Linked DNA regions of Cricetulus griseus. The protein of the gene in region 5 interacts with the protein of the main gene of each other region in a biochemical or structural test. Links are inferred from orthologs where the notes say so. Each region holds a gene or a part of one and is shown on either strand. Other genes may lie near its edges. The genes, in order: Cdk1, Eef1a1, Cdkn1a, Pcna, Gadd45a and Aurka.

Evidence for each region.
Region 1: the proteins of Gadd45a (region 5) and Cdk1 form a complex in vitro, tested with the Homo sapiens proteins (5 studies listed by BioGRID). The link is inferred for Cricetulus griseus from reciprocal best matches to the Homo sapiens genes GADD45A and CDK1.
Region 2: the proteins of Gadd45a (region 5) and Eef1a1 form a complex in vitro, tested with the Homo sapiens proteins (2 studies listed by BioGRID). The link is inferred for Cricetulus griseus from reciprocal best matches to the Homo sapiens genes GADD45A and EEF1A1.
Region 3: the proteins of Gadd45a (region 5) and Cdkn1a form a complex in vitro, tested with the Homo sapiens proteins (3 studies listed by BioGRID). The link is inferred for Cricetulus griseus from reciprocal best matches to the Homo sapiens genes GADD45A and CDKN1A.
Region 4: the proteins of Gadd45a (region 5) and Pcna form a complex in vitro, tested with the Homo sapiens proteins (4 studies listed by BioGRID, with this or other methods). The link is inferred for Cricetulus griseus from reciprocal best matches to the Homo sapiens genes GADD45A and PCNA.
Region 6: the proteins of Gadd45a (region 5) and Aurka form a complex in vitro, tested with the Homo sapiens proteins (2 studies listed by BioGRID). The link is inferred for Cricetulus griseus from reciprocal best matches to the Homo sapiens genes GADD45A and AURKA.

The regions. Positions count from the first base shown.
Region 1 is NW_023276806.1:268,282,962-268,287,150, reverse strand, and holds part of Cdk1 (cyclin-dependent kinase 1), read right to left. Parts: intron 3,228-4,189; coding exon 3,104-3,227; intron 1,248-3,103; coding exon 1,077-1,247; intron 1-1,076. UniProt on the Homo sapiens protein: Plays a key role in the control of the eukaryotic cell cycle by modulating the centrosome cycle as well as mitotic onset; promotes G2-M transition via association with multiple interphase cyclins.
Region 2 is NC_048597.1:189,545,380-189,550,202, forward strand, and holds the start of Eef1a1 (elongation factor 1-alpha 1), read right to left. Parts: upstream 3,001-4,823; 5' UTR 2,968-3,000; intron 2,024-2,967; 5' UTR 1,990-2,023; coding exon 1,846-1,989; intron 1,735-1,845; coding exon 1,555-1,734; intron 1,476-1,554; coding exon 1,179-1,475; intron 1,096-1,178; coding exon 945-1,095; intron 861-944; coding exon 604-860; intron 517-603; coding exon 282-516; intron 194-281; coding exon 69-193; 3' UTR 1-68. UniProt on the Homo sapiens protein: Translation elongation factor that catalyzes the GTP-dependent binding of aminoacyl-tRNA (aa-tRNA) to the A-site of ribosomes during the elongation phase of protein synthesis.
Region 3 is NW_023276806.1:257,585,443-257,590,275, reverse strand, and holds the start of Cdkn1a (cyclin-dependent kinase inhibitor 1), read right to left. Parts: upstream 3,328-4,833; 5' UTR 3,088-3,327; intron 1-3,087. UniProt on the Homo sapiens protein: Plays an important role in controlling cell cycle progression and DNA damage-induced G2 arrest. Involved in p53/TP53 mediated inhibition of cellular proliferation in response to DNA damage.
Region 4 is NC_048599.1:46,331,142-46,335,981, forward strand, and holds the start of Pcna (proliferating cell nuclear antigen), read left to right. Parts: upstream 1-1,654; 5' UTR 1,655-1,664; coding exon 1,665-1,885; intron 1,886-2,611; coding exon 2,612-2,709; intron 2,710-2,857; coding exon 2,858-2,925; intron 2,926-3,197; coding exon 3,198-3,392; intron 3,393-4,757; coding exon 4,758-4,840. UniProt on the Homo sapiens protein: Auxiliary protein of DNA polymerase delta and epsilon, is involved in the control of eukaryotic DNA replication by increasing the polymerase's processibility during elongation of the leading strand.
Region 5 is NC_048601.1:76,185,268-76,190,055, forward strand, and holds Gadd45a (growth arrest and DNA damage-inducible protein GADD45 alpha), read left to right. Parts: upstream 1-1,583; 5' UTR 1,584-1,752; coding exon 1,753-1,796; intron 1,797-1,880; coding exon 1,881-1,982; intron 1,983-2,077; exon of another isoform or gene 2,078-2,097; coding exon 2,098-2,335; intron 2,336-3,237; coding exon 3,238-3,351; 3' UTR 3,352-3,941; downstream 3,942-4,788. UniProt on the Homo sapiens protein: In T-cells, functions as a regulator of p38 MAPKs by inhibiting p88 phosphorylation and activity.
Region 6 is NC_048599.1:6,970,455-6,975,375, forward strand, and holds the start of Aurka (aurora kinase A), read left to right. Parts: upstream 1-1,886; 5' UTR 1,887-2,025; intron 2,026-3,901; 5' UTR 3,902-3,906; coding exon 3,907-3,948; intron 3,949-4,921. UniProt on the Homo sapiens protein: Mitotic serine/threonine kinase that contributes to the regulation of cell cycle progression.

The DNA.
Region 1 (4,189 bases), on a different chromosome or scaffold from region 5:
TAATCAACCATAGTAGTATATTCATCAAAATAGTGATGCTATGACTTCTAAGAACCACACTAATGGGGTTAATAGCAGTTATAGCCATCAAAGAAAATTCAAGTAACTGTGTCAAATAAAAAGGAATAAACGAGGTAGGGCTGAGAGGTCAGTCAGTGGAGAGCTTGCCTGTCAGGCATCATGTGTAGGATCTAATCCCCAGAACTGCATTCCCCAGGCACAGCAGTGCACACGAACGACCTCCGTACCCAAGAGGCAAAGGCGAGCATCAACAGCCATCCAGAGAATTTGAGGCCAGCCAGGGCTACAGAAAACCCTGCCTCAAAAAAAAACAAAAGAAACAAGGAGGGAAAGGGACAGGAGTCCACCTGACACGATGGACTCCAAGTTCACAACTCCCCAGATGTCAATGTTCTTGCACTTTACAAGTCACTGCCCTTTCACAAACACCAGAGGAACCCAGTCTAATGATGCAGACCACAATCCCAGCTGCAGGGAAATGAGGCAGCATTCACAAAGCCTATCTGGTCCACTGACTTCAAGGCCAGTCAGGGCAAATTAGTAAGACCTTTTCTCAAAATAAGAACACAGTTCAGGGGTAGAACACTTACCTGATATGTGTGAGGCCCTAGGTTCAAGACCCACTACATAGAAACATAAAATAACCTAATGAAATGCCAAGCATCAATAGAATACCAATTGATGACAGAGCCATGGGTACAGCTCAGTGATGTAAGGACTGGGGCTCAATCCCTAGCACTTCCTCCCTCAACTACAGTTACTAGCTCCTAAATGTATCAGAACAATATAGACATCAGACAGCAAAACCTGCCTTTTAGTTGATCTGAATGACCATAGCAGGGTCCCATCAGGAAGAACCACAGCTCTGAGAAAGATCGATAAAGAGAATTACAAAAGTTACAGTAAACCCCTTCTGCAAGGCCTCTTCAGGAATCTCCCTTGACAAAAGATGCCAAAAGTTCCAGCTCCACTTTCACAGGGAAAGAGTGACTGTAGAGACAAGAAGCAATGAACTGATAGTACCAGAGCAGAACTGTGGGCAGCAATCCAGTTACCTCATGTGTGTACACTCTTATCGGTATCCCAAAAGCTCTGGCAAGGCCAAAATCAGCCAGTTTGATTGTTCCTTTGTCATCGATCAATAGATTTTGAGGCTTCAAGTCTCTGTGAAGAACTCTTCGGGAGTGACAAAACACAATCCCCTGGAGGATTTGGTATAAGTAACTCTAGAAAAAAACAGCCAGAAACTTAATCATGCCACAAGACTCTGAAATGACCACTGTTTATGAAGAAATTATGATGCCGAGAAATAATTATATTATCAAAGGACCTTTCAGGCCCTTTAAACTAAAAAAACTTGTGGGCAGGAAACCTGATTACATATAGTATATGTATATGGAAGGATTTATCTATACCCACATGAGCATTTAAAATTTTGTCCCCTATCTTTAGGTCACAAGTTAGCTTCCTATGAAGAAGTTTCCTCAACACATTCATATCAAGCCCTTTTTCTTGAATAAAGTTGCTCTTTTTCATTTCTCTCACTTCCCACATGCACTTGCTCTTTGGAGACATCTGACTGACTTCAATTTGAAATGAGAAAAAATGTAAAACAGACAATACTGAAGTTGAATCATAACCTAATTCTCGTGTGTGTGTGTGTGTGTGTGTGTGTGTGTGTGTGTGTGTGTGTGTGTGTGTATGAAAACTCAAGTATGTGTGTTTGCACACACACATGCAGGTGCCAGGGCAGTGGTGGAAGTCAATGTCTTCCTCTATTGCTTCCACCTTAGCTTTTGAGGTAGCATCTCTCATTAAACCTGAGATGTTGGTCAAACTGGCTAGCCAGTAAATTCACACACACACACACCTTTCTCCTCTGCCCTCAGGTTCTGGGATTACAGAAGTACACAATACCACACCTGATTCATAGATGCTGGGAACCAGAACTCAAGTCCCCATGCTTACAGCATAAGTATTTTCCCTCCTGAAATGTCCCCCCCAAGCCTTACAATCTAGTTCTGAAAACAAAAGTAATCTTGGTGCTACAAAACAAACAAAAAGAAAAAACAAGAGCAAGGGGGAAAAGAGGACGGGCAGAAAAACGTTGACATTATTCTAATATATATGATCTAATACATTATACATTCAACAAGACACAAATCAAAGTCCGAAAGTCATTAAGAATATTGTGCTGGGTAGTTTTATGTCACAGGAGAAGAGGGAGCTTCAATTGAGAAAATCCCTCCATCAGATTAGGCTGTAGGCAAGCCTGTGGGGTATTTGCCTGATTAGTAATGGATGCTGGAGAGCCCAGACCATTGTAGTGTCATCTCTAGGTTAACATATATGGTTCTTGGTTCTATAAGAAAGCAGGCTGAGCAAGCCATGAGGAACAATCCAGTTAGCAGCACTCCTTCATGGTGTCTGCATCAGCTCCTGACCCAAGGTTCCCACCCTGTTTTAAGTTACTATTCTGACTTCCTTCATCGATGAACTGTTACATGGAACTGTGGGCAAAATAAACCCTTTCTTCTCCAAGTCATGGTGTTTCATCACAACAACAGTAACCCTAAGACATACATAACATAAACAATGGCAATCAAAATGGGGGGGAGGCAATAAAAGGAATTATCAACTGTATGTTACTAAAAAGACCTTTGAAATCATTGAAAAATTAAAATCTATCTAAAAATACAAAGATCAGTGAATATGTACAGGCTATGTATAAATCACATTAAATATCAAATAATAACTGTGTGATTTAACTGAAATACAATGTTTACATTAACCAAAATATATTTTTCACAGAATAAGTCCTCCCAAGTATCAGCCATAGTATATTCTGTCTCCAGCAACTTAATTTAACACATAGTCCACAGTGAGGCACTTACGTCCTCAGACACTACTTTTCACTTCCTAGAACGGTCTGGTATAAAGAGATGACCTCATCTGTGTGGGAAGAAAATAAAACCCTCTCTACTTCTATTTTCTTACATATTTTCCACCATTCACCCACAAAACAAGGATAAGCCATACACTCTGAGTGCATAAGTATTAATAAAAGTCTGCAGACTCTTACCTTAACGAGTGAAGAATCCATGAACTGACCAGGAGGGATAGAATCCAAGTACTTCTTGAGATCCATGGACAGGAACTCAAAAATTAGATACAACCTCGAGTCCTGCATGAGCACATCCTGAAGACTGAGGAGAAAACAATCCATGAGAGCCCAGCAATACCTCCACCTCGAGCTTCAGGATTTTAGTAGAAGCTTCTCAACAACTACCTTCACACTGAAGACTTGAGGAAGGCCTGCCTTTCAGGACAGTAATTTATGACTTCCTGTACAGCTTGTCTTTGTTCCTCTGTTCTTCTTTCATTGAAGTAAATTAATTATGGACATTAAAGTTGAACATAATCTTTACATTCAAAGGCTGCCTAAGCTAGAGTGAGTACAAGGCCAACCTGGGTAATTTTGAAAGATCCTGTCTCAAAATAAATTTAAAGAGTGCTGGGAGTGGTGGTTTAAGCTCATAGTGTGGGCACTTGGGAGGCTGTTACATAAAAGCAGTAAATTCCAGGCCAGTCTGAGTGAGCTAGAGTCAAGTCTTGCCTCAAAACTTCAAAACCCAAAAATTAAGACAGTCTGGGATACAGCTCAGTGGTAGAACATTTTCTTAGCATGCCCAAAGCCCTGGGTTCAGTACCAAGTACCACTAGAAATTCTAATGAGCCACTAGACAACATCCTCAAAGACCCAGCCCAAAGGAGTCAATAAAAAATTAAAGCATTTTCCCCATTCCAACCTAGCTACTTTCCTAAAGGGCCTTTGGGGACCTGGGCTCTGAAAATCAGAGCTGGCAAAGCTCCTCATGGAAGGGCTTCTTTCTTCCCACAGCTACCATGCCTGTTCCTCCAGCCAACATTAATTCTCAGCACCATGTCTGGAATTCTTTGAACAGGCTATTCTCTTTTATCTCCTCCTAGCATTACAATCAACAAAAATAAATGTGACTCTATCCCACTGCACCCAGAAACTAAACAAACATAAAAATATCCACATTAAGCCGGGTGGTGGTGGTGCACGCCTTTAATCCCAGAACTCGGGAGGCAGAGACACTCGGATCTCTGTGAGTTCAGACTAGTCTGGTCTACAAGAGCTAGT
Region 2 (4,823 bases), on a different chromosome or scaffold from region 5:
ACAAACAGTTCTGAGACCGTTCTTCCACCACTGATTAAGACTGGGGTGGCAGGTGTTAGGGGTAATATTCATTTAGCCTTCTGAGCTTTCTGGGCCGACTTGGTGACTTTGCCCGCTCCAGCAGCCTTCTTGTCCACAGCTTTGATGACACCCACAGCAACTGTCTGCCTCATGTCACGAACAGCAAAACGACCTACACAGAAACAGTTATGAGCACTTGTTCATACAGCATTTCATATCCAAACAATACTCAGTGCAACAGAAACTTAAGTTCTACTTACCCAGTGGAGGATAGTCAGAGAAGCTCTCAACACACATGGGCTTGCCAGGAACCATATCAACGATGGCTGCATCACCAGATTTCAAGAATTTAGGGCCATCTTCCAGCTTCTTACCAGAACGGCGATCAATCTTCTCCTTAAGCTCAGCAAACTTGCATGCTATGTGAGCTGTGTGACAATCCAGTACAGGAGCATAGCCAGCACTAATTTGGCCTGGATGGTTCAGGATAATCACCTGAAAGAAACAGCATTTGGTTAAATCTTGCCTTCAGGTTTTGCATGCTGCTATCAATATTACACTCTTGACACCTATCTTGTTTACCTGAGCAGTGAAGCCGGCTGCTTCCATTGGTGGGTCATTTTTGCTGTCACCAGCAACGTTGCCACGTCTGACATCTTTGACAGACACGTTCTTTACATTGAAGCCCACATTGTCTCCAGGAAGAGCTTCACTCAAAGCTTCATGGTGCATTTCAACAGACTTTACTTCTGTTGTAACGTTGACTGGAGCAAAGGTAACCACCATTCCAGGTTTTAAAACACCAGTCTCTACTCGGCCCACAGGAACAGTCCCAATACCTAAAAACATTTACAGTATATAAGGTGAAGACAACTGAACACACCTCAAAACATCTTAGTCCAGTGTCCGAATGCTCTACTTACCACCAATTTTATAGACATCCTGGAGGGGCAGTCGCAGTGGCTTGTCAGTGGGACGAGTTGGTGGCAGGATACAATCCAAAGCTTCCAGCAGTGTGGTACCACTGGCACTGCCATCTTTACGGGTGACTTTCCATCCCTTGAACCAAGGCATCTGAAATGCAGAGTAGCCAAATGTTTTATAATCTCTCCCCCCTTACAGCTTTTCCATTTAACCACCTTCTTCAAGTCACTTACATTAGCACTAGGCTCCAGCATGTTGTCACCATTCCAACCAGAAATTGGCACAAATGCTACTGTGTCAGGGTTGTAGCCAATTTTCTTAATGTAGGTGCTGACTTCCTTCACAATTTCCTCGTATCTCTTCTGGCTGTAAGGTGGCTCGGTGGAATCCATTTTGTTAACACCAACAATTAGCTGTTTCACACCCAGGGTGTAAGCCAGAAGGGCATGCTCACGGGTCTGCCCATTCTTGGAGATACCAGCCTCAAATTCACCAACACCAGCAGCAACAATCAGGACAGCACAGTCAGCCTAAGAAAAAGTTACCTCCCGTTAATAACAAAGCTTTCCAGCTGGAGGTAAGGGTCAGAAGGTAGTAAATTTCACAAACCTGAGAAGTGCCAGTAATCATGTTTTTAATAAAGTCTCTGTGTCCTGGGGCATCAATGATGGTCACATAGTATTTGCTGGTCTCAAATTTCCACAGGGAGATGTCAATAGTGATACCACGCTCACGCTCAGCTTTCAGTTTGTCCAAGACCCAGGCATACTTGAAGGAGCCTTTTCCCATCTGTTCAGTGATTCGCAGTTAGTACACTCAAAACATCTAGTTTCTAAATAAACAATTTCCTGCTTACGGTAGATTTCCACCCCCCCCGACCTTTTCCCTTCGAATACTTGCCTCGGCAGCCTCCTTCTCAAACTTTTCGATGGTTCGTTTGTCGATTCCACCACATTTGTAGATCAGGTGGCCGGTTGTGGTGGACTTGCCTGAATCTACGTGTCCAATGACAACGATGTTGATATGAGTCTTTTCCTTTCCCATGTTGGATTTGAATTAGCGGTGGTTTTCACAACACCTTAAAAAAAAAGTTCGAAGAATACCTTTGAACGGCTAAGCAGCTTTGTCAATCAGCTTCGCTCCAAACTCAAAATGGGCAAATTCCAAGAATTACTTCCATGGCCAGGCTGGCCTGGCTACAGTCTCCACCCACCAAATGTGAGCAAACTCCAACGCCATTAGACAGATCCCCTCCCCCAGCGGAGGCCAGCGGTGCTCCGAAAGAGCGCCCGGGGTGACTGAAGTGCGGCCGGTACACCACGGGGTCACAGGAAGCAGCGGCCGGCGAGGGGCAAGGCCCTCTTCCTTTGTGTGGGTGACTCACCCGCCCCGCTCCGCCGGGCTGCCGCGTCCTCCATTTTGAGCTCCTTGCTACAGGGCCCGGGAGCGGCCATCTTTCCGCGCACGCAACTGGTGCCGGGCGGGCGGGCCTCGCCCTCCTCGGAGCTAAGCCACTACGGGGTACTGGCCAGACCGGGCCGGGACCCGGGGCCACCTGAACCCGGCATCTAAAACCCACCGCCCGGCCGCCTTATCAGGACACAGGCCGCTACCCGTCCAGGCGGCGTCGGACATGTGCTGCGGGACGGGCGGGCCCGGTCCCCCCCCCGACTGCTGCCGCTCTCCCTGCCCGACATGCGGACTACGGGGCTCCCTACCAGCCAGCTCCACGCCCTCCCTTTGTTGGCCCGGGCCGCGGGCAGGCAATCGAGGGCAGCCGGGCAGACAGCAAAGCGCGGCCGCGGTGGCACGCGGCGGGGCGGAAGCCACGCTAGGCCTCACGCCCGACACGAGGCGAGGCTCCGGGGCCGCCGCCAGGCCTCCCCCCCTCGCCCTCCCGCACAGCCCGCCATCCAGGGCGGGAACGCTCGCAGAGAAGCCCGGCCGACGACACCCGCACGGCGGCCCGACCCCGCTCAAAGGAGGGAGCCCGGGCCCGCGGAGGCCACACCCGCCACTCACCTGCGTTCTGACGGCAAACCCGTTGCGAAAAAGAACGTCCAACGCGACTACCGCACTTTTATACCGTTCTCCCCCACCCTCGGGAAGAGGGCGGAGCCAGCACACGACACCACTTTCCCAGTTTGCCCCGCGCTGGCTCCCGGGCCCCCGCTCAGCGCGCCCCTCCCCCACCGCCGGGGACTGTGGGCTTGTGCTCTCCCGCCGACCCGCGATCCGCCCTAGGCGCAGGCTCCTCCCGCCGCGCTGGGCGGGCACAGCGGTTCCGGGCTGGGAGGCCGGCCAGAATTTAGCGACGGTCCCTGGGATTCCCAGGGGCGAAGGCGATCCCTCCTTTTGTATGAATTACTCTCGGCTCCAGTCGGGGGTGGGGCGGTGAGGAGCTGGCCAAGAGGGCGTCCAGAATCTGTCCCTACCCTTCCTGACTCCACTGCCAAGGCTGTGTCGAGATCCGGGTGTCCCTTCCCGTGGAGGCCACCTCCCGACGTCAGCCCCGCCATCCCCCTGCTTGTCCCCCGCGGGAGAGGTGCACAATCCTAGGGACCCTTCCCAGCCCCAGAACCTAAGGGCTCAGCTCGGTGGCCGAGAGCTCGACGGATCTGCCCCTGTGCTGGCCTCTTGGTTCATTCCATCCAGCGCCAGCTGCTTCTCTGGAAGCCTGAAGCGCGCTTCACGCCCTGGGAGTTCCGTTCAGAATAATACTTAAGTCCCACAGTTAGCTTTACTTCTGATTCTGGGCTTCTTAAGCTAAAAAAGGATTTTGTGTGTGCGCGCATTGTGTGTGTGTGTGTGTGTGTGTGTATTTGGGTACAGTTATTTGATAGAGCACGAGGAACATGAAAAGAATCTAATCAACTCCACGTGGTCTCATTTAGAGGCCAGCATTAGCAATCTTACTCGCCCAGAGCCCATCCCTGACACTTGTGAAATCAGAGCTTCTCAAAAATGGCTCGTCCTATTATTTAAATGCTTGTCATTCCTACAGTTCCAAGGATCATAACTGCGTTTTGCTGTGGTTCTGATTGTGTGGCTGTTTTGTTTTTGAGACAGTCTCTTTAGCCCTGGGTGCCCTGAAACTCACTAGGTAGACCAGGCTGACCTCAAACTCACAGAGATCCGCCCTGCCTCTGCCTCCTGCGTGCTGGGATTAAAGGCGTGCGCCACCATGCCGGCCCTAGCCTGTTTTCTTTTCTTTTTTTTCTTTTTTTTTTTTTTTTTTTTTGGCCCTGGCCAGTTTTAAATGCCTCTCCGGGCAGGATCTCAGAAGAAAGAAAAACTTCTTTGTTGTTTTGTTTCTTAATGCTAGGGACGGTGAAAAGGTATTTTGTAATGGAATATGGGGTTGTGGAGATGGAACCGAGGGTCTCAGCACACCAGGCAAGCACTCTTATCACTAAGCTACATTTTTAGCCTTAGAGTATTTATTCCTAATAACCTGATTATGGGCTCAAGAGATCTCCTCCAGATGTACAACATCACTGCCTAGTAACAAACAATTGATATTATTGAACCAACCTAATAAGGAGCATTTGAGGACCTACTGTCCGGTGTCCACATGTGGGATCTGCAAAGGAACTATTTGCTTCCGGACAAGACTCCACAGTCAAGCTAGGAAGGAAAAAAACTGAAATATAAAACAAATTTTGGGATGAGTTGAAAGCAAATTTACATGATACTTGATTCTTACCTATTATCTAGTTCTAGTTTTCACAACCCAAACTGTTGTTGTTTTTAATTTTTTTAAAAATAGCATTATTTAGTGTGTGTGAATGCACATGCTGTGTATAGCTATGTGTGGGGACCAGAGGACACCTTCCAGGAGTCAGTTCTCTTCCCTCAACCATGTAGCTCTAAAGGAT
Region 3 (4,833 bases), on a different chromosome or scaffold from region 5:
CACCTCTGTTAGTCCCTAAAGGGTTTCCCAAAGCTCTGGTTCCCTTCAGAGGTTGCTGGAAGCAGCTGACAGTAGAGCTGAGTCCCTCTTCAGGGCTTGCCTCAGAGAAGAACATGTTCTGCCAGAGCCTGTCTGCATCAACAGTGCACCCAGATGACTGATGGGATGGCAAAGTCTGGACTGCCGAACCAGCTGCAGTGCTCCAGCAAGGACCAGCTGAGCCTCTCTTGGGCCTCTGGTATCTGTCAGTGCCCATCTCACTGCCTAACCCGATTGTCCTTATACCCAGAGAGATGTGCGTGCCATAAATGCAACACTCACCCAACACCCCACACCCCCACCCACCCAACCCCTGGCGCCCAAATCCAGCCAGTCAGAAGCTTAAGTAACTAGTGAGTCCAAGGAACCCTTTCTCTGGGAGTATCAGTACACTAGTAACAGTAGTAACGTTTGTGGAAAGATTTCTGTGTGCCTGACTTGGCTCTTTACCTGTACAACCTTAGTTATTGAAGACTAGAATTTATGCCAGAAAAAAAATCAACTTCTTTTTTCTTTCTTGTATATTGTATGTATGTGTTCATCTGTGTAGGTAAGGGTGCGTATGTATACGTGTGGTGTGTCACACCAGAAAATCCAACCCTGCTTGTCATTCCTCAGATGTTGTCCGCTCTGCCATGTGTTTCTCCTGTGTCTGTTTGAGACAGAGTCTCTCTATGTAGCCCAGCTATCCTAGGACTCACTCTGTAGACCAGGCTGGCCTCAAACTCATGAAGATCTACCTGCCTCTGCCTCCCAAGTGCTGGGATTAAAGGTATGTGCCACTGTGCCTGGCTTCAGCTTGTGCTTCTTAAAAAATATGTATGCACATGTTATACTTTATTTATTTTGTGTGAGTGAGTGTGTGTGCACATGCATGTGGGTGCATGTGTTTCATGGGGCCCCGGGGATGTCAGAGAAATCAGTCTTCTCCTACCAGGTGGGCCCGGGGATGGAACTCAGTCGGGTTTGATGGCAAATGCCTTTACCTGCTGTGCTGGCCAGTTCCTGCCTCTGCTTCCTGAGTGCTGAGGTTAAAAGTGAGCACCACTACACTGGGCCCTCGCTATGTCCTTCTTCATCCTTGCTTGTTGTGATGTAAGAATCAAACCCACACCAATGGGTTTTAATGTGGTTTGTTAGGTAAAAACACAAATTTAAATGCAGCTCAATCATTTTTGTTTTTAAAATATCTAATTATAGACTGAAGATGTAGCTCAGTCAATAGAGTTTGTCTAGCATGTACAAAGCCCTGGGACCCATGCCAACACTGTATAAACTGGGTGTGGCAGCACACACCTGTCATCCAGCACCAGGAGATTGAAGCAGGAGGTTCAGAAGTTCAAGGTCTTGGGGCTAGATTGCTTAGCAGTTAAGAGTATATAGTGGTCTTGCAGAGGACCCAGAATCTACATTTGGTAGCTCACAGCCACCTGGAACTCTAGATCCAGGGGATCTGATGCCCCCTTCTGGCTTCCTCAGGCACTTGCACTCACATGCACAAACCTCACACTCATATACACATAACTATAAACTAAATCTTTAAAAGAAAGAGGGAGCTGGAGAGATGGCTCAGAGGTTAAAAGCAACGACTGTTCTTCCAGAGGTTCTGAGTTCAATTCCCAGCAACCACATGGTGGCTCACAACATTCCGTTATGAGATCTGGTGTCCTCTTCTGGTGTGCAGATATACATGGAAGCAGAATGTTGTATACATAATAAATAAAATCTTTTTTAAAAAGAAAGAAGTTTAAAGTCATCCTCAGTTATAAATTGAATTGGATGACATCCTGAGCTACATGAGATCCTGTTTCAACAAAACAAACAGCCTTCAAGATACCCCTCCCTCAAGCTCAACTTTCTGGATGGTCCCCAAGAGAGGACTTGGCATTCTTTACTATTTCTGTTCTTTGTTAAAGCCCGTCCCAAGACAAGCCCCAGCATACACCATCAAAGTGCTAAGGATTTGGGGTTCGGAGCCTCTGATTGCACAGTGGGGCAATGGCCTCAGAAGTTCAGAACCATGGCCCCCCCTCCACCCAGCACAGGTAGGCAGATGACAGGAAACAAGGCCCTGGGAGCTGCTAGCTTTGGCTGGAATGACTCTGGCAGGGGTCAGGGTGAGTCCGGGTCTTTACTGTGGCCCCTTCCATCAGCTGCTCATCTTTGTCTTTGCCCTAAGGTGTCTCTGGGTTCCTCTGGGGTTATATTGGCACCAGAACCACCCCGGAATGTAGCAGCAGCTCCTCTAAGCCCCAGTGACAGTGGCCGCACTATGGTTGCAGAGCCAGGAGTCACCAGTGTGATGTCCTCTGTTGATCTTCTGTGGCTTCTTAGAGACCTGCACTTGTAGAGAGGGGACCATGTGTCCTCCTGGAAACATTTGAGAGCTTAGGAGAGGGCTGAGGAAGAGCTGGCAGGGTGGGTGGGGCATGGAGGGGGCATGAAGGGGACATGGAGCGAGGCCTGGCACTGTGAAACAGACAGACTATGAAATGTGACAAGGGTGTGCTTGGGGCACACACCTATAACCCCAGGCAGGAAGATCATGTCTTTGAGACCAGCTTAGGCCACATAAGATCTGTTTAAACTGAACCAAGTGTGGCAACACACCCCTGATATTCAGGGGAAGAAGCAGGAGGACTGCCATAAGTTTGAGGCCCACTCATTCTACGTGAGACCAACTGAAACTAAGATAGAACAGAGCCAGTTACTTCACTGAGGTAAAGATTTGAGGGAGAAGGAGATCATCTCTCACACTCGTGAATCCAGGAAAGGTGTTCTAGGTGGCCGGTGCTCTCCATGCAGTGAGTCAGAGGTCCAGGCCCTTTCTGTCCTATAGCTTCCCAATCTTGAGGGCCTGGAGGTCTATTCCCTGGGCTGGAGGAAGGAGAAGGCTCTAAAGAGGATGTGTGCACTTTGTCAACTGGCTCAGGAGTACTCAAATTGCCTTCTCTAGACCAGACCATAGATGGGAAGCTGACAGATGGCCGTGTATGGCTGCAGAGGTCTCTGTAGTCCCTGGCTGGGGACACAGTTGATGTGACTTACTTCTTGCGGAGTCTCTATGAGCAGATGGGATGTCCTCCTGCCTAGGAAGTCATCCTAGGCTTTTCCCGCTGAGGCACAGACCGAGAGAACACTGCAGAGGCGCCTAGGAAATGGGTTCTCACATATGTGGACCATCCAGCACCACAAGAAATGAAACCATGAGGTCCACACAGGGACAAAGGAACAGTGCACACTGCCTCCACACACAGCAGGACCCCACTTCCTCCTTCTGGTACACAGCTTTCAAAGGAAAGGAAAAAAAAAAAAAAAAAAAAAAAAAACAGCATCAAAGCCGAAGGAGTTACCGGCCCACATGCAGGAAATCCCTTATTTGGCAAATCTCCTGAATCCCCTGGGGACCTAGGAGACAGCTTGCTAGGAAGCCCCCCAGAATTTCTTATAGGGGGTGCATTGTGCTCAGCCTAGATCTGGAAGGGTGGGGGTTCACTCCCTGAGACCTCAAGAAAGGTCCAATCTCCCTCTCTGTATTTCAACTGGCTGGAAATGGCTCCATCAGCCGCCCATCCTCCCTAACCTAGGGTTTCTGAACAGAGGGGAAGAGGGTGGAAAGGGACTTGCCTTTGGGAGAATACTCACGTTGTCAGGCCGGAGTCTGAAGCAGGGGGATGGAAGGTTCAAGGCCTGTAGAGTGAATTCAGGGTCAACCTGAGGTTTCAGTAAATGAAACTTCATGCAAAGAGCAAAACCAAAGAATTAGGGGATGAAGCTTGGTGGTCGAGCCCCTGCCTAGCATGCCAGGGATCAATGCCCATGGACTGAAGCAAAGAGAAAAGGAGAAGAACAAAACAAAACCCTCAGGGCTTAGGAAAAAAACAGCTGCCTGTGGCCTGCTCTCTCTGTCTCCCTCCTTCCCTCTCTCTCTCTACCCCCTTTCTGCTCTCCCTGTCTCTCCTCTCTGCTCTCTCCTTCTCTCTGCTCTCTCCTTCTCTCTGCTCTCTCCCCATCTCTGTTCTCTCCCTTTTCTCTGCTCTCTCCCTTTCTCTGCTCTCTCCCTGTTCTTTTCTCTCCCTCTCTCTGCTTGCCCCCTCTCTCTCCCTCTCCCTCTCCCTCTCCCTCTCTCTCTCTTTCTCCCTCTCTCTCTCTCTCTCTCTCTCTCTCTCTCTCTCTCTCTCTCTGCTCCTGTTTCACTCATGGACAAGTCCAGTCCACTGGCCATGTTCCCTCTACTACTCTCTCTCTCTGCTCCGGTCTCTTCCAGATGCCTCTGACTTTTCTCTCCTCATAACTACATTAAAAAAAATACCTCCCCTTAGCCATACCATAGAGCAGACACACCATCAGTTTATACGCCACCAAGCCTAAGGACCTGAGTTTGGCTCCCAAAACCCACACACATGAAGAAGGAGAAAAACAACCCCTGAAAGTTGTTCTCTGACCTCCACATGAGAACCTGGCATGTGTGCCTGCATATACATTCATGGCCATGACAAAAAGAAAAAAATTTTCTTAAAAATGCAAGAAAAATCTCAGGTTCTTTGTGCACAGAGAGTCTCACTGGAAGAGAATAGATACTGGGACAAGTGATGCCTCTGGAGAGAAGAGGTGGTCTCCTTCCTGTAGTGCCCACCCCCAAGACCTCAGCACCCAGGGCTTCACACATGAAGTGCTAGACACACATGCAGGCAAAGCACCTACACAAATAAAAATAAATATTAAAAAAATTAATATTTTATTTTTATTCTTTTTTTTCTTTTTTTTTTTTTTTTTTGGTTTTCGAGACAGGGT
Region 4 (4,840 bases), on a different chromosome or scaffold from region 5:
AAACTCTGGATGTAAGAATGTAAGCAAACAGTGCAAACACCTTCATTCTCTCTTGTGACACTGTGAATCATGCTGGGGCCTGCACAGGTCAGGCCAGCACTCTCCTGTAAAGGCCAGCACTACAACCTTTCATGGGTTCTGGCTAGGGAACCTGAGGATTAACTAAGAAAAGACACAATAGGTCATTTTTGCAAGGAGAATGCCAGTTTATTTCAGAGGGGAGGAGACTTATATGCCAACAGCAGCCACAGTGGAAATTTACTCAAATCAAAGTCCATGCTCTCAAGCCCCCTGGCAGAGGGCAGAAAATTTACACTCTGGCATACAAACCTAGGCAGAAGGAGGAAATGGACAGCGAGCCCCAGGGGCCCCTTAGGTCACCCAGCCGGGTCCCAATGTTAGGAAGGCAGTGGTGGCATACACCTTTAGTCCCAGCACTCTGGAGGCAGAGGCAGGTGAATCTCTGTGAGTTTGAGACCAGCCTGGTCTATAAGAGCTAGTTCCAGGACAGCCTCCAAAGCCACAGAGAAACACTGTCTCGAAAAAAGCAAAACAAAACAAACAAACAAACAAACAAAAAGAGGCATTTGAAATAGAAACTGTGGACTTTCACATTAATATTTTACACTTTCGGCATCAAACATATTTTATCCATCACCAAAACAAAACAAAGAGAAGAAACATTAGAAATTAAAAAAAAAAATAGCTTTACATCCGTTTGTAGCTGGTGTCCACCACCTGCATTCAGTTTCCCCCACCCTTATAATCAACAGGAAAAAGAAATTTCAGTAGAACAAAACGCAGCAGGAACACATGCACCTGTAATGGCTGACATTTTCAGGAATGGGTATTGATTTTAACATGAAGTTATTGGTGCTTAGCCTCTAGGCCCTGGGTTCATCTCCAGCCTAGATGGGGTTCAGGCTAGGGAAAGAGGCGTAACAGGGAACTAATTAGGTGGGACCTATGGATTATGTATCTTAAGAGATAGTCATACTTTGGGGTTCTTTGCAGAAGTGTTCACGGCAAGAAGGAACTCTTTAATCTTTAGGGAGGAAAGTTCAGAGCGCCCAACACAGTGAAGTGATAGAAAACCGGGGTTAAGATGTGGTGGCTCCTTCCTTACTCGGTATTTTGCAGCGTTTTCGCCTACGCAGTAGCAAAAGCGCTCTGTAGTGTTTGAAACAGGTATACTTTTCGACTTCAGGCAGCCCTGCACCCCACCCCTCCCAACCCCCGACCCGCGCCTCCCGGCGCAGCTCGGCTTGCACGTGACTTTCATTTCCGTGGCGCGGAAACTTGCCGGGACAAGCCTCCTCCAAAAGGTGGGCCTCCGCGGATCCCATAATGCCCCACGCTTCCCACGCCCGTACGCCGCAGCCCCGCCTCTGTGTACGCGGCAGGGCGGGCCTTGCGCGGGACTCGGATACGATTGGTTCTGAGGGGAAGGTGGGTGGGGCAGCGCGGTGACGTCGCAACTCTCGCGCACGGAAAGAGCGCGCGCCTAGGAAGCGGCAGCATAAAAACGGTTGCGGGCGCCCAAGTTGGTAGTCGCTCCCTGCGGGTCCTCGCTGCCACTTCTGCATCGCGAGCCGGGAGACCTTCGCGGCCGGCCCTCTCTCCTGTCACAGTCTCTAGTATCTAGTCGTCGCGACTCCGCCAGGATGTTCGAGGCTCGCCTGGTTCAGGGCTCCATCCTGAAGAAGGTGTTGGAGGCTCTCAAAGACCTCATCAACGAGGCCTGCTGGGACATCAGCTCGGGCGGCGTGAACCTGCAGAGCATGGACTCGTCGCACGTCTCCTTGGTGCAGCTCACTCTGCGCTCCGAAGGCTTCGACACATACCGCTGCGACCGCAACCTAGCCATGGGCGTGAACCTCACCAGGTGAGCGGGTGGCGGGAGCTGGGCTCTAGCCCTCCCGCCTCGGGTCTTGGCGGGGCTCCGGCTCCGTGCTCTCATTGGCTGACGTGGTCATCCGCGCCTTCTGATTGGTGTCTGGAGCTGGGGGCGGAGCCCGAGGAAGCGCGCGGTTCTGAAAAGCCCGCGCTGGTGGCCGCGCGAACCCGCTGTTTCCGCGCCAAAGCCACAAAACGGGTGCCGGCGGGAAAATGCCTGCGTTGGAGATCAGTTCATTAAACGCCAGCAGCTTTTTTTATTTCAGGGCACAACCTTGTCCTGGCTAATTTTAGCTGCCTACTAAACGTGTTCTGGTGAAAATGTGGTACTGTCCACTTAGAGGGACAATAGGCCTTTTCTACTTGGAGTCTAGAATCTCATTGCGAATCATTTGTGGGAAAATTTACCAGTCTTAGCTTTTAACTTTGTTACAGATGCATGAATTTGCCACCGGTATACGTTTTAAAAGATTTGTGAAAAGGCCACATATGATATAGGGCACACTCTGATACACTGGAAACCAAGGACATCCTGCTCAAAAAATTATTTACTGGCATATTGCCTTTGAGTGGTTTTAAGGATCACATTCCCGATAGTTTACTCCCCCCCCCAGGGGATTTGGTGTGGGCGTAAAAGGGTAACATCTTGTAATTGCCTTTAAAAGAGTAGATGTTGAACACATGGTGTTGATAAGCCCTGCTTCTTGTTTTCTAGCATGTCCAAAATACTAAAATGTGCTGGTAATGAAGACATCATTACACTAAGGGCTGAAGATAATGCCGATACTTTAGCACTCGTATTTGAAGCACCAAGTAAGTTACACCTCTAAAACTCAATTGTTACAGAAAGCAAAGTATGATCTGTTTCTCAAAACTAAGGATATTAACAGAATTGCGGTTGTAAAGTTTTACACCATAGGTATGAACATGTGCTTCAATAACATTTGCTTCCTTTTGTTAGATCAAGAGAAAGTTTCAGACTATGAAATGAAGTTAATGGACTTGGATGTTGAGCAACTTGGAATCCCTGTGAGTATCTTGTTCTCGTTTCTGGTGGTCTTTGAACTCATTCTGTAGACTCAAACTCAGCAGAGATCTGCCTGCCTCTGCCCCCTTAGTGCTGGGAGAATATCCTGTTTTCGCTGGTGAATTTTACCAAGCTGTGATACCAGCTGATGAGTTCCAAAGTGGGTATTTGGAATGAAAGACAATTTCACTAAGCAATGACAGTCTAAAATTGAGTTTTAAAGAAATCAGATACTTGTCCTCACACTTCTGACCTTTAACTTTGGGATTTACAGGAACAGGAGTACAGCTGTGTGGTAAAGATGCCTTCTGGTGAATTTGCGCGCATATGCCGAGACCTTAGCCATATTGGAGATGCTGTTGTAATATCCTGTGCAAAGGATGGGGTGAAGTTTTCTGCAAGTGGAGAGCTTGGAAATGGAAACATTAAGTTGTCACAAACAAGTAATGTTGATAAAGAGGAGGAAGCTGTAAGTAGTAAAAGTTGTCTGCAGTGTCTGAAAGGGGAATGAATATAAGCTTAACTGCTGAGCTGGTTCTCCAGACCTAGCTCTTTTGAGGTGGAGTGTGAGTAGACCAGGCTGTCTTTGAACTTAGATACTCCACACTCTGCATATATGCTTTCACAGGTGGGACTGGGAAGCTAGGTGTTTCCAAGCTTTTGCTTCCTAGAATGACTGACAAATAAGCATTAACAAGTGAACAGAAGAAAATGGTTGGGGTTGTGAGTCTGTTGGGATCATGTAGATCTTGTAGTAAGTAGCTTTGTGTTGGACTTTCACGTGCTACCCCATTTAATGGTGCAAAAGCAGACTAAGTAAAGTTGAGTGTTGATAAGTTTTAAAGTCCTCAAAAATGAGGAAGATGTTGGAAAGGCAAAGGAAAAATGCCTGGAAAGCCTCATTCAAGCAGAAGATACTAGGCTAATTGCTAAATATTCAGAAGTCAAAACTTTTTAATTATACTAAGTTTTTTAAAAAGTTTTGCCAGCTAGTCTGAGCATCAGACTATAAATTGCAGACACAGTCTGAACTAAATATGATTTTTAGTGCTAAATGTAAAATTCGGAGTGCTTAACACAAAGTGTTTAATGTTATTTTGTCTGCAACTTGTATAACTGAGGATTAGAACATATATACACAACCCATAGGGCTGGTTCTTAACCTTAATCTGTCTGCTTAATTATTCCTACTTACCTGTCATCCTCAGATCACAAGGTATTTAATTCATAAGTATTTTGTTTAAAGCATAAGCATTACCACAACAAAGGAAATTAAGTTTTCAGTATTCACATGTTTCTTATTTCCTTAGTTTGAATTGGGACTTGAAAAAAATTCCTGATAAAATGAAAATTGGTCAACATGTCCCTTAGCTTGCATTTAACTTGTTGCTTCTTGTTACTAGAGTTGGTTATGAGCTGCTGGATGTGGGTGCTGGGAACCAAACTTGGATGTTGTGGAAGAGCATCGAGTATTAACTGTTGGGTCATCTCGCCAGCCGTGGTTACTTTTGGGGGTGGGAGTTGAGTGTTGTACATTGAACCCAGGACTTATATTAGTCAAGTGCTCTACTGGTTAGCTATCATTCCATTTCTTTTTCCTCTATATAGATTCTTTGGAAGAGATTAGTGCTTGCAGTCTAGAAAAGAACAGCCACTTTCTTTGTGTTGCTTGGGGTATGCTTCTACAAGAGATAGGCTAAATGTGTTTTAGTCTTCAAACTTTTCATAAAATCCTCCAAAGTGATAACTAAAGGTTTTTGTTTTGTGCTGTATGTTATGTACTAATGTGTGAGTTTCTTGATGTTGTGTTAAGTGAGCCTGTTTTCTTCTCTAGGTAACCATAGAAATGAATGAGCCAGTTCAGCTAACTTTTGCACTAAGGTACCTGAACTTTTTCACAAAAGCTACTCCACTGTC
Region 5 (4,788 bases):
GGATAAAATTTTGGGCCTGGGCCTGGAGCATGCTAGGAAACTGCTCTACCATTGAGCTAGACTCCTAGGCCCAATGTTGAGAAACTCTTTAACAAGCACATCCCATGTAAAGATTTAAAGTACAGGTATGAGGTACACTAACGCCCTAGGGTGAACCATACACTGACACTCGTTCCTTTACTCAACATTGCTTCTCCGTGACAAAGCCCTTAGGGAATGAATACAAAGTCTATCTCCAATAAATGAACTAGAAAACCAACCTATCACTTTTCCATTAAGAGCAAGGAAATTGGAAAATATTTTGTCCACAAGAGAAAAATTGAAGGATGCAAAATTCATATGTACCCCTGCAAAATTTACTTCTGCTAACTATTAGCTGCACAGTGACCTCAAAATAAGCACTGTTATGAATTCAAACAGATGAGAGGCAATTTTGTTACTTCAGTTGGATCAGGCAATGCTTTTGTATTTATCAAATAAGCTCATAAAACAAAGGGACTTTTGAAGTACTCAGTAAAAGTCTACATTAAAAATTGTTTTTAATGTGTGACTCCTGCTTGCAGTTATGAAGGTTTGCCTTCCACCTACAAGTTGCCATTATCTCAAAGGTGAAATTTTAGCACATGGCTAAAATGTTCTATAGTTACAGCTTCATGATTCAGCATCAGTAATTCAGAGTGAGATCATAGGCAGTGGAAGGTGGTGTCATACTCTTTTGCCTGTGAAGGGGCGACCAGGGAATGGCATAAGCATATTGAATTTAGACTGTGGCTCCTGTGAGTACCACAATTTGTCTCTCAGCTCTTGCCTGATCAGAAGGTGCCCTCGGGAAAGATTTTAAGAATGGTAAATTTGGCTCATTAGGCATGTTGATCACCAGCTCCCCCCACCCACCTTATATGGAGTGGGCAGAAGTTTTATCAGCTTTTCGTGGAAAAGATTCCAACTTGGTACCGTGCCATCACCACACACCAGTGTGCTGGGTTTTCTATTTGGAGCTTCAAATTCTTGCACCCAACCAAAAATAAATCAAGCCAGCCATCAGGGCACCAAAAGAATACTACTGTGAAAAATCAGCATTGCCTGAAACTTAACATATAAACAACACTTCTGAAGCAAGTTTTGCGTGGCACATCCGGACACTTTAAAAATACCATCTGCTTACTAATAACAGCTACACCAGGGTGCATTAACCCTGGAAATAAATTGTAAAATCAGCCCCTTAACACAAACAACACGAGACGACCATCAAAAGATCTCCACAACTAGAAAAACAATTGGCAGGCTGTTTTCAGTACGAGCTGAGGACACTGGAACCACCGCAAAGCCCTCCTCACCAGATGGCTCCACCAACTCCCAGAGCTGGCTCAGGACCCCGCCAACCCGGTTTCTGCACCACTCTCATCCCTGGGGGCTTCCCTCCCGCGTAGCTCCGCCCCCTTCCGCTCAACTCTGCCTGGGCTGGTGGAGTTAGGGTCTGAGTGTCAAAGTCTGCTAATTTGCATAAGCCAATGGGTGCATTGCATGCAAATGAGGCGGGCCCTGATTGGCTGACGGCTAGCCCCATAACTCCGGAATCGGGGGCCTTTGTCCTCCAGTGGCCCGGAGGAAGCTGTGCAGTCCTCACCTACCGAGACTTAGGCGAGAAGCGGCGAAGCGGCGGGTGGGAGCCGAGCGAGCGCGGGGCTGGCGCCGCGCACTGGGGGGGGCAGGAGCAGCCCGCGCGCCGCGTGAGGGACTCGCACTTGCAATATGACTTTGGAGGAATTCTCGGCCGCAGAGCAGAAGACCGAAAGGTAAGTGTGCCTGCGGACTCTGTGGCCGCTGCCCCTCCCGCCGTCGGGGACCCGGCTGACCCACTCTCGCCCTGCCGCCCGCAGGATGGACACGGTGGGAGATGCCCTGGAGGAAGTGCTCAGCAAGGCGCGGAGTCAGCGCACCATCACCGTCGGCGTGTACGAGGCCGCCAAGTTGCTCAATGTGTAAGTGGTCCCGGCCGCCCGCGCCCCTGCCTCCCGCCCGCCCCCCCGCCCGCCGCCCGCCTCTACCCCGAGCTCCCTGGACAGTGTGCACTCACCGCTGCCCCGCTGTCCGCAGCGACCCCGACAACGTGGTACTGTGCCTGCTGGCTGCAGACGAGGACGACGACAGGGACGTGGCTCTGCAGATCCATTTTACCCTCATCCAGGCGTTCTGCTGCGAGAACGACATCAACATCCTGCGGGTCAGCAACCCGGGCCGGCTGGCTGAGCTGCTGCTGCTGGAGAGCGACGCGGGCCCGGCGGAGAGCGGGGGTGCCTCGCAGCCCCCTGACCTGCACTGCGTGCTGGTGACGGTAAGGGACCCGGGGCTGCAGCCCGGAATCTGTTGGGATAGACCTCGGCAGTGCTAGACGCTGATCTCGCGGGGGTTCTGATGGTACCGAGCGTGTCTAAGCTCGTGGGTGGCCTCCAGCGGCGGAAGATAGCCCTGTGAGTCAGCAGGCTGCCCAGCTACCTCTGCCTACCTCTGCACTACCTCGCGTGACTAATTCTCAGAGCAGGACAGATTAGATAAAGCCAAATAAATTCCCGGCTCACCCTTCATTAAGAAGTCAGCTTCATTCTTCATTTGCTCTCAAAGCTAAATATAGAAATAGAGTAGGAGACAGACCTTATTAATTCGCTGGAGATACTCTGGTGTGTACAGAGTGGAATTCTTTTCTCTGAACCTTTGTATTTGTTTAGATGAGCCCCCCCCCCCACGCACACACACACACAAACACACGCCCTTTAAAAATTTCTGGTTGAATAATGTTTTCAGAGAGAAATGTGCTGTCTTGGTCTTCTGTTTTTTTGTTTTTGTCCTTTCTCTGCCTTGACTGGTGTAGGCAAGTGGCACCCTGATTACTTTTGCTGCCAGTGAAAAGTGCCATTCATCACCAGGGAAGATAAGAGTGAAGCTAAGCTGCCTGCCCTGCAGCTTTCACATGGTGTGCGAGAATGTTTTCAGAGCTATTTTACTTATGACCCTACTAGGGTGCATGCTTGATAGGTTCAACTTATGAATGATAACCTCATGCAGAATGGTACAGATAATTATGCAAAACTCTGTGGCCCAGTGTGCATTACAGGTGTTTAGATCTTGCCAAATGCTACTTAACAGAATGCTCAGGTTTTGGCCCTTTCAAAAGTAGTACAATTAGTAGCATAAGCTGATGATTTTATGGAAAAGTAATTTTTCTAAATTTGTTCTTAGAACCCACATTCATCACAGTGGAAGGATCCTGCCTTAAGTCAACTTATTTGCTTTTGTCGGGAAAGTCGCTACATGGATCAGTGGGTTCCAGTGATTAATCTCCCCGAACGGTGATGGCATCTCAATGGAAATAACTGAACCAAATTGCACTGAAGTTTTGAAATACCTTTGTAGTTACTCAAGCAGTTACTCCCTACGCTGATGCAAGGATTACAGAAACTGATGTCAAGGGGCTGAGTGAGTTCAACTACATGGGGGCTAGGAGATGACTTTGCAGATGGACAGAGGTGAAAATAAAGAAGGAAGCTGTGTTGAAACAGAAATCTAAGTCAAAAGGGACAAAAACTACAAAGAACTGTGCAAGAAAGAAAACTGTTGATTTAGGATGGCTGAGTTACATTAAATAAGCCAAATATTGCTTTGTTGAAACCTTAAATGTGTAGCAATAGTTTGTTTTTTTTTTGTATTTGTTTTTTGGTTTTTTTGTTTGTTTGTTTTTTGATCTTTATGCCCTCAAGTAAAAGGAAAGTGAAAAGGATTAATTGTATTTTAAAGCTACAGGTTAATGTATTTTGATGAGATGTTAAATTCTCAGAAATTTTATTATAAATCGGACTAAGTTATTTTATGATATGAAAGGTTATTTATGATAAAGTTTTTGAAGCACAATATCTAAAATAAACTGGTATGGAATAATTGCATCATTTTCACTGTGTGGTTTGTGTTGTGCAACATTGACTATTAACAGACATTTCATTGAAGCCTTGCTTTACACTAGGCAGAAAAATGGGTGATTTTAGAGGGCTTGGATAAGGGAAAAAAATGTTTACGGATTCCCCTTGCAAAGTTTGAATAACTACAATTAGTTATTTTAATGCTACAAAAATGCATGCAAAATGTAGAAGCAGAGAGGAGGGCAACCAGGGCCACTTGGAAGATTAGTGGAGCTTTTGCTGAGGAGAAATCATTTTCTTGGGGTCTTAAGAAATAACCTTAATTTCTCTAGTTAGAGAGAGGAAAGGGATGTTGCTAACAGCAGTTTGTGCAGAGGTGTGGAGGCCTGAAAGATCACAGCCTGCATAGAGACTGACTCTGCATGCCTCTGGTGTAGAAAGATAAGAGAGAGAGGGCTGGAAAGAGTAGGTGGGGGGGTAGGTTCAGACTCTGACAGGCATTCTCGTATCATTTTTACGTATTTGAACTTTCCTCTGTAAATTGGCCACAGTCTGCAGAGGCCTTCATTCTGCAGAAGGAAGTGACATGGTCAGTGTTGTAGGAAGATAACATGGAGCCATAAGGGATAGTTAATTGCCAGAATGGCTGGCTGTACAGTACTAGTGTAAGGCAGTGCATTTTGTAGAACCATGACAAAGGAAAAATTTGATGTCCTTAGTTTTTTCCTAGGGCATTGTGCCTTCAGCTGTATCTCCACTAATGCTGTGAGGGATCTGATTAGGTCAGATGGAAGAAATGGCAGAGAAGGAAGCAAAAAGGCTGCGGTAGAGGCCTTTCCTTGTCTGCTCAGATCTGCACCTGATAATTAACTGTAGC
Region 6 (4,921 bases), on a different chromosome or scaffold from region 5:
ACGGTTACCATGGAACCCCTCATGGTATTCTCTGTTACTATTCCTTCCCTCTCTCCTGTTAACACTGGTGCCTACAATAGGCAGACAGCTGACACTTTCTTTGTCGGACGCCTGGACTATTTTTACCGTTCTCACCAGCTGGACTATAAACCTACGGATGACCTTTTTATTATTTTAAAACCTGTTTTCAGGCAACCAAGCTTATTACTAAAATTATATTACTTGAGTTAGTAAATGAACACATAAATACATCACAAAAAACAAAGGAGGATCAGAAAATGAAAAATAAGCCAAGTATAATGTTCTGGAACAATGACAACTTGAGCTGTTTAAGAAAATGTTGCCAAATGCTGGGCATGGTGGCCCCCTGTCTTTAGTTCCAGCACTTGGGAGGCAGAGGCAGGCAGATCCCTGTGATTTTGAGACCAGTCTGGTCTACAACACAGGAGGCCGGCCAGGGCTGCATAGTGAGACCCTGTCACAACCAAACCTAAAATGATACCACCAAAACAAATAAGAAATGCAAACATCTCAACAGATTATGCTCCTCTCAGTTTTACTTGGAAGGATTTAAGCTCTCCAGTCCATGAACATGAAACGCAACTGAAGACGCCGGCTTCAGTTACCAACTTGGGCAAATAATCTGATAATTACCAGTACGTGTGCGGTTAGAGTTTGGCTATCGGAATCTGGGAACAGCGGGAGGGGAGGACTGGGGGTTACAGACAGGGGTTACAGTGTTTGCTAAGCCTGCCAGACGCCCTAGGCTCAGTAACAACAGCAGCAGCAGCAGCAGCAGCAGCAGCAGCAGCAGGACCCTCCAGGCCACACACAGCACGGCACTGTCGGGAGACCTCAACAGTTACCACTCATCGAGCTCTTGCTACCGCCGGGTACGACGACCCCGAGCACCCGATCGGCATTAATCTCGACACGCAGGCATCCAGAGACTCGTGCACTTCACGTTAGAAATAAGCGTGTACAAGCCTAACCCTTGCATGAGACACTGGGACTCGACAGAGAGTGACACGAGTTCCAGAAAGTTTCCAGGGCACCCGGTCAGGCTACAGCCGGCCCCCAAGGGTGAGGGCCGGTCCGCGCAGCCTCCGCTCCCGCCAGGGACGCCCGGGGCTGGGTCTCGAGGTGTAAAGGGGGGTGGGGGGGGCGGCGGCCGAGCCTTCACCCGAGTCCCCGGGAGGAAGCACGGGCGGGCGGGAGGAGCCCGGCCCGGGGCTGCAGGGGGCCCACCCCGCTCGGGCGGAGGGGAAAGCAGGGAGCCGCCGGGACCCAGGCCCGAGGCTCGCTCGCTCGCTCGCTGGCTCGGGGTGCAGGCCGGGCCGCTCGGCTCCGGGGCGTCCGGCCTCCCGCCACCCTCTCCGCTGGCTCCGGGCCCTCTCCACGCCAGCCCCCGGCGCCCGCACCAGCCCGTCTCCCTGCGCCTGCCACCCGAGCCCGTTCCGTACCCCCGGATCAGGGTCCCGGTCTCCCGCTCTCTTCTGGAAAGATGGAGGCGCGAATCGTGCCCGATCGATCGCTCCGAGCGCACGCCCACTGCGCACGCGCCAAGGGCAGGCAGCCGAGCGCCGAGCACCCTCCCGCTCACTCGGCCAGCCTGCCCTTCTCGCCATCTTACTCACTGGCACGTTCGAGACGCTCACTCACCTCCTCCGAGCTGATCACCTTCGCGGCAACCCTGAACCCGAAGGGCTGCTGTGTGACCGGCAAACGCCCGATCCTGGGGAGCACGGCGAACGACAGAACGGCCACAGATCGGACAGGCCGTTGGCGCACCACTTCCGGGCGCTGACGGCTCAGTGCGCCTGCGCCCCGGCTACGGCCCGGAACGAGCTTCCCGTCGTCGCGTTCACGGCGGGCCAATCACAGGACGGCGCCGCTTCGCCTCCAGCCAATCAGCTTCCGGAGGAGAGGGTTTAACTCCTGTTTCAAAGGAGAACCTTTGAATTGTAACGGCTGAGCTCCTGGAATCGCTTGGAGTCTTCGCTGGAGACGCGATCCTGCCCCGGGGTAGGAAGGGGACCCGGCGGGCCAGGGAGAGCCTGGGCGCTGCAGAGCGACGCGGGGCGGAGAGGGGCCCGGGGGTGGCGGGCTGTCTCTCGGGGCTCGCATCGGTGCAGCGGAGATCCAGGTGGCCTCGTCCCTCCTTGGGTTTAGGTTCTGGTGGGAATGGGACCCGGACCACCGGCCATACCGGGTGATTTGCAAACCGATGGCGGTGGTATGGACGAAGCAACTGCGGCTCAGTGGGGACCAGGCGGGGGTCCCCTTGTAGAGACGCCCGGGGTCGTGCTGCCCCCTCACCGCAGCCTTTTGAGCAGTCGGTGTCGGTGTAGACCCGCGGAAGCTCAGCTTGTAGAATATTCCGGAAGCCCCGGGCTCGGCCCCCAGCACTGCCTAAACCATCATGGTAGCCCCCGCCTTTAATTCCGATGGTGAGGAGGTGGAGGCAGGCGGATCACAAGTTACATGGCAGATCGGAAGCCAGCCTGAACTGTGACCCTGACTCAACAAAAAAAAACAAAAATAAGTCATCTCCCCATCCCCACACCCAGCGTGGTTGCTCACATCAGCAGTCTGAGGCAGGAGGGTAGCCTTGAGTTTGAAGCTAGCTTCCGATACAATGTGAGAGCCCTTCCCAAAAGTGAGGCCTATCTGGGAATGTAGTTCTTGTGTACCACGCCCTGGATTCAAATCCTAGCACTGCATACACTGGGCACGGTGACCATGTTTGTAATTCCCATTGGGGAAGTGGAGGCAGGAAGATCAGAAGTTCAAAGTGATCCTCCATTATAGCATGTTCAAAGCCAGCCTGGGCTACATGAAACACTGTCTCAAAAACAAATACAAGACTGATATGGTCCCAAATTCCTTTAATCCCATCACTTGGGAGCAGGTAGAAGGACTTCTGAGTTCCAGACTACCTAGGAGGGCTACACAGAGGTACCCCATCTCAAACCAAACAAACAAAATCCTGGCTCCACTGCAAATGTAGGAAATAGAAATATCTTAGGGATAGGATCCTGGTATAGCTAATCATGGGAAAGCTAAAATGCAGGTCATTTAGCCAAGCTGGCATCTGGTCCCAGGGCTCCGTTTCCTACAGGCTTCCTACAGGTGAGGTGGGTACAGCCCCAGTCCTTCACTTAATGCCTCCATCTCCTGCCTAGCCTCCCCCATCTTTGCAGTAGGGGCTTTTCAATAACACGCAGGTGTTTGTCCTGACTGCAAGCAGGTGTTTGTCCTGACTGCAACCCGTATCTGAAAAGGGAAGCCCAAGGCTGATTCCTGCTGTGTCAGGAGAACTTTTCTTACATGGAGTTGTAAATCTTGGCTGAATGGGATCTGTGAAGGTCATCTGATGTAGATGAGAAGGCGAAGGACTGGGATTAGGGGAAAAAATGAGGCCAAGCCAGGAGGGTAGGAAGTGACAGCTTGCAAGGTAATAGATAAACTGGGAAATGGGCAAATGTGATTGGCTGAAACCTGTTCCCCAGGAATCAAGTTAGTGCTGGGTTTGCCACCGTAGGGGAAGCTGAGAGACTGGCAATACCGTGGGATTCAAAAGGCCCAATGGGAATGGCTTGGGAAAAGAGTAGGTGAGCTTTGTTGTTCAAGGGTTATGGGAGATGGGACCATGGCCTGGGGTAGCTGTGCAGCAAATGGGTAACCCAAGCAGGCTGTATATGCTGGGCATCATGTTTTAGAGCAGAAAGAACAAGCCCAGGAGGGAAGAGAATGAGAGGATGTGAGGAGCTGGGTGCAGGATTGTCAGTGGGAAGTGTGAGGTTGCAGGTCACAGAGGCCTGTCTGTCAGAGGCAGTGACTGCGGAGCACAGCAGTACGTGGCTTCCTGTCAATGAAAGGCTCTTGTTTCTCTCTTCAGGTGACATGGACAGATGTAAAGAAAACTGTGTTTCCAGGCCTGTTAAGGTAAAAAGAATTACCTGTAATCACAATTGAATTTTGAAAAGTTGTTTTGAAATGAAATGCATTTTGTTTGTGTGCACCCATTGTTGTAATTTAAGAAAAGCAGCCTTCAAGAAAGATGGCATGAGACAGGGTTCAAGCAGAGAAGGGCTTTTTATTAGGGAAAGAGATCATAAATAGGGGAGGGGGAGACAGGAGCACCAGCAGAGAGAGAGGGAGGGAAAGAAAGAAAGAAGGGTGGGAGCTGACAGCAGCTGAGGGCGTATCCTGTCAGAACAGGCCAAGGATAGATGCCTAAATACTAATATTCCTCCCTCTTATTATAAAAAGATGAGTCATTAGAAAGGGGTAGCAGGTGAGGTGGGGATGAGACCATTGTGTTTTCAAGACTACTTCCTGCTGACCTGGGGGGCATCGTTCATCTTTGGGGGACCTAGGAAAGCTGGGGTGCTAGCCATGTCCTGGAGTAGCTGGCTGTTTCACTTCACTGTCCAGGCTCTGTGGAACCATCAAGGTGCCTCCTGAACCTGGCAAAATGCCGTTCTTGGTGAATCCAAATCAACACCCTAGGGCGTAAAGCGCCTGGTCCTTTCCCGTCACCACAGCATCACTGGGCATGTTTGGTAGTCTTGTGCCTCCAGCTCTACGGCCAACACCTGGTAGTACTGCAACAGTAGCCGATTAGGAATGGTCCGTGGGTCTCCAAAAACATCTCAATAGGAGCAAGGAGGCATAGATGGTGACACAGCTCCCATGAGTGAGGCAGAGAGTAAGACCCAAGGGTCTGCAATTCCTAGCATCCCAGGAATTCAGAGAGGGCCAGTTTCGAGACTGGCACAGGCTGTCACTCAAAGGGTGGGGGCCAAGGATTCTGAGCCTGAGAGATACAGTCGTCTGGTACCCAGACTCCGGGAAAAGCCAGAAGGCGAGGAAAGAACTGTGCTGGAGAAATGTCTCACATCTCTGGGAATGGTCA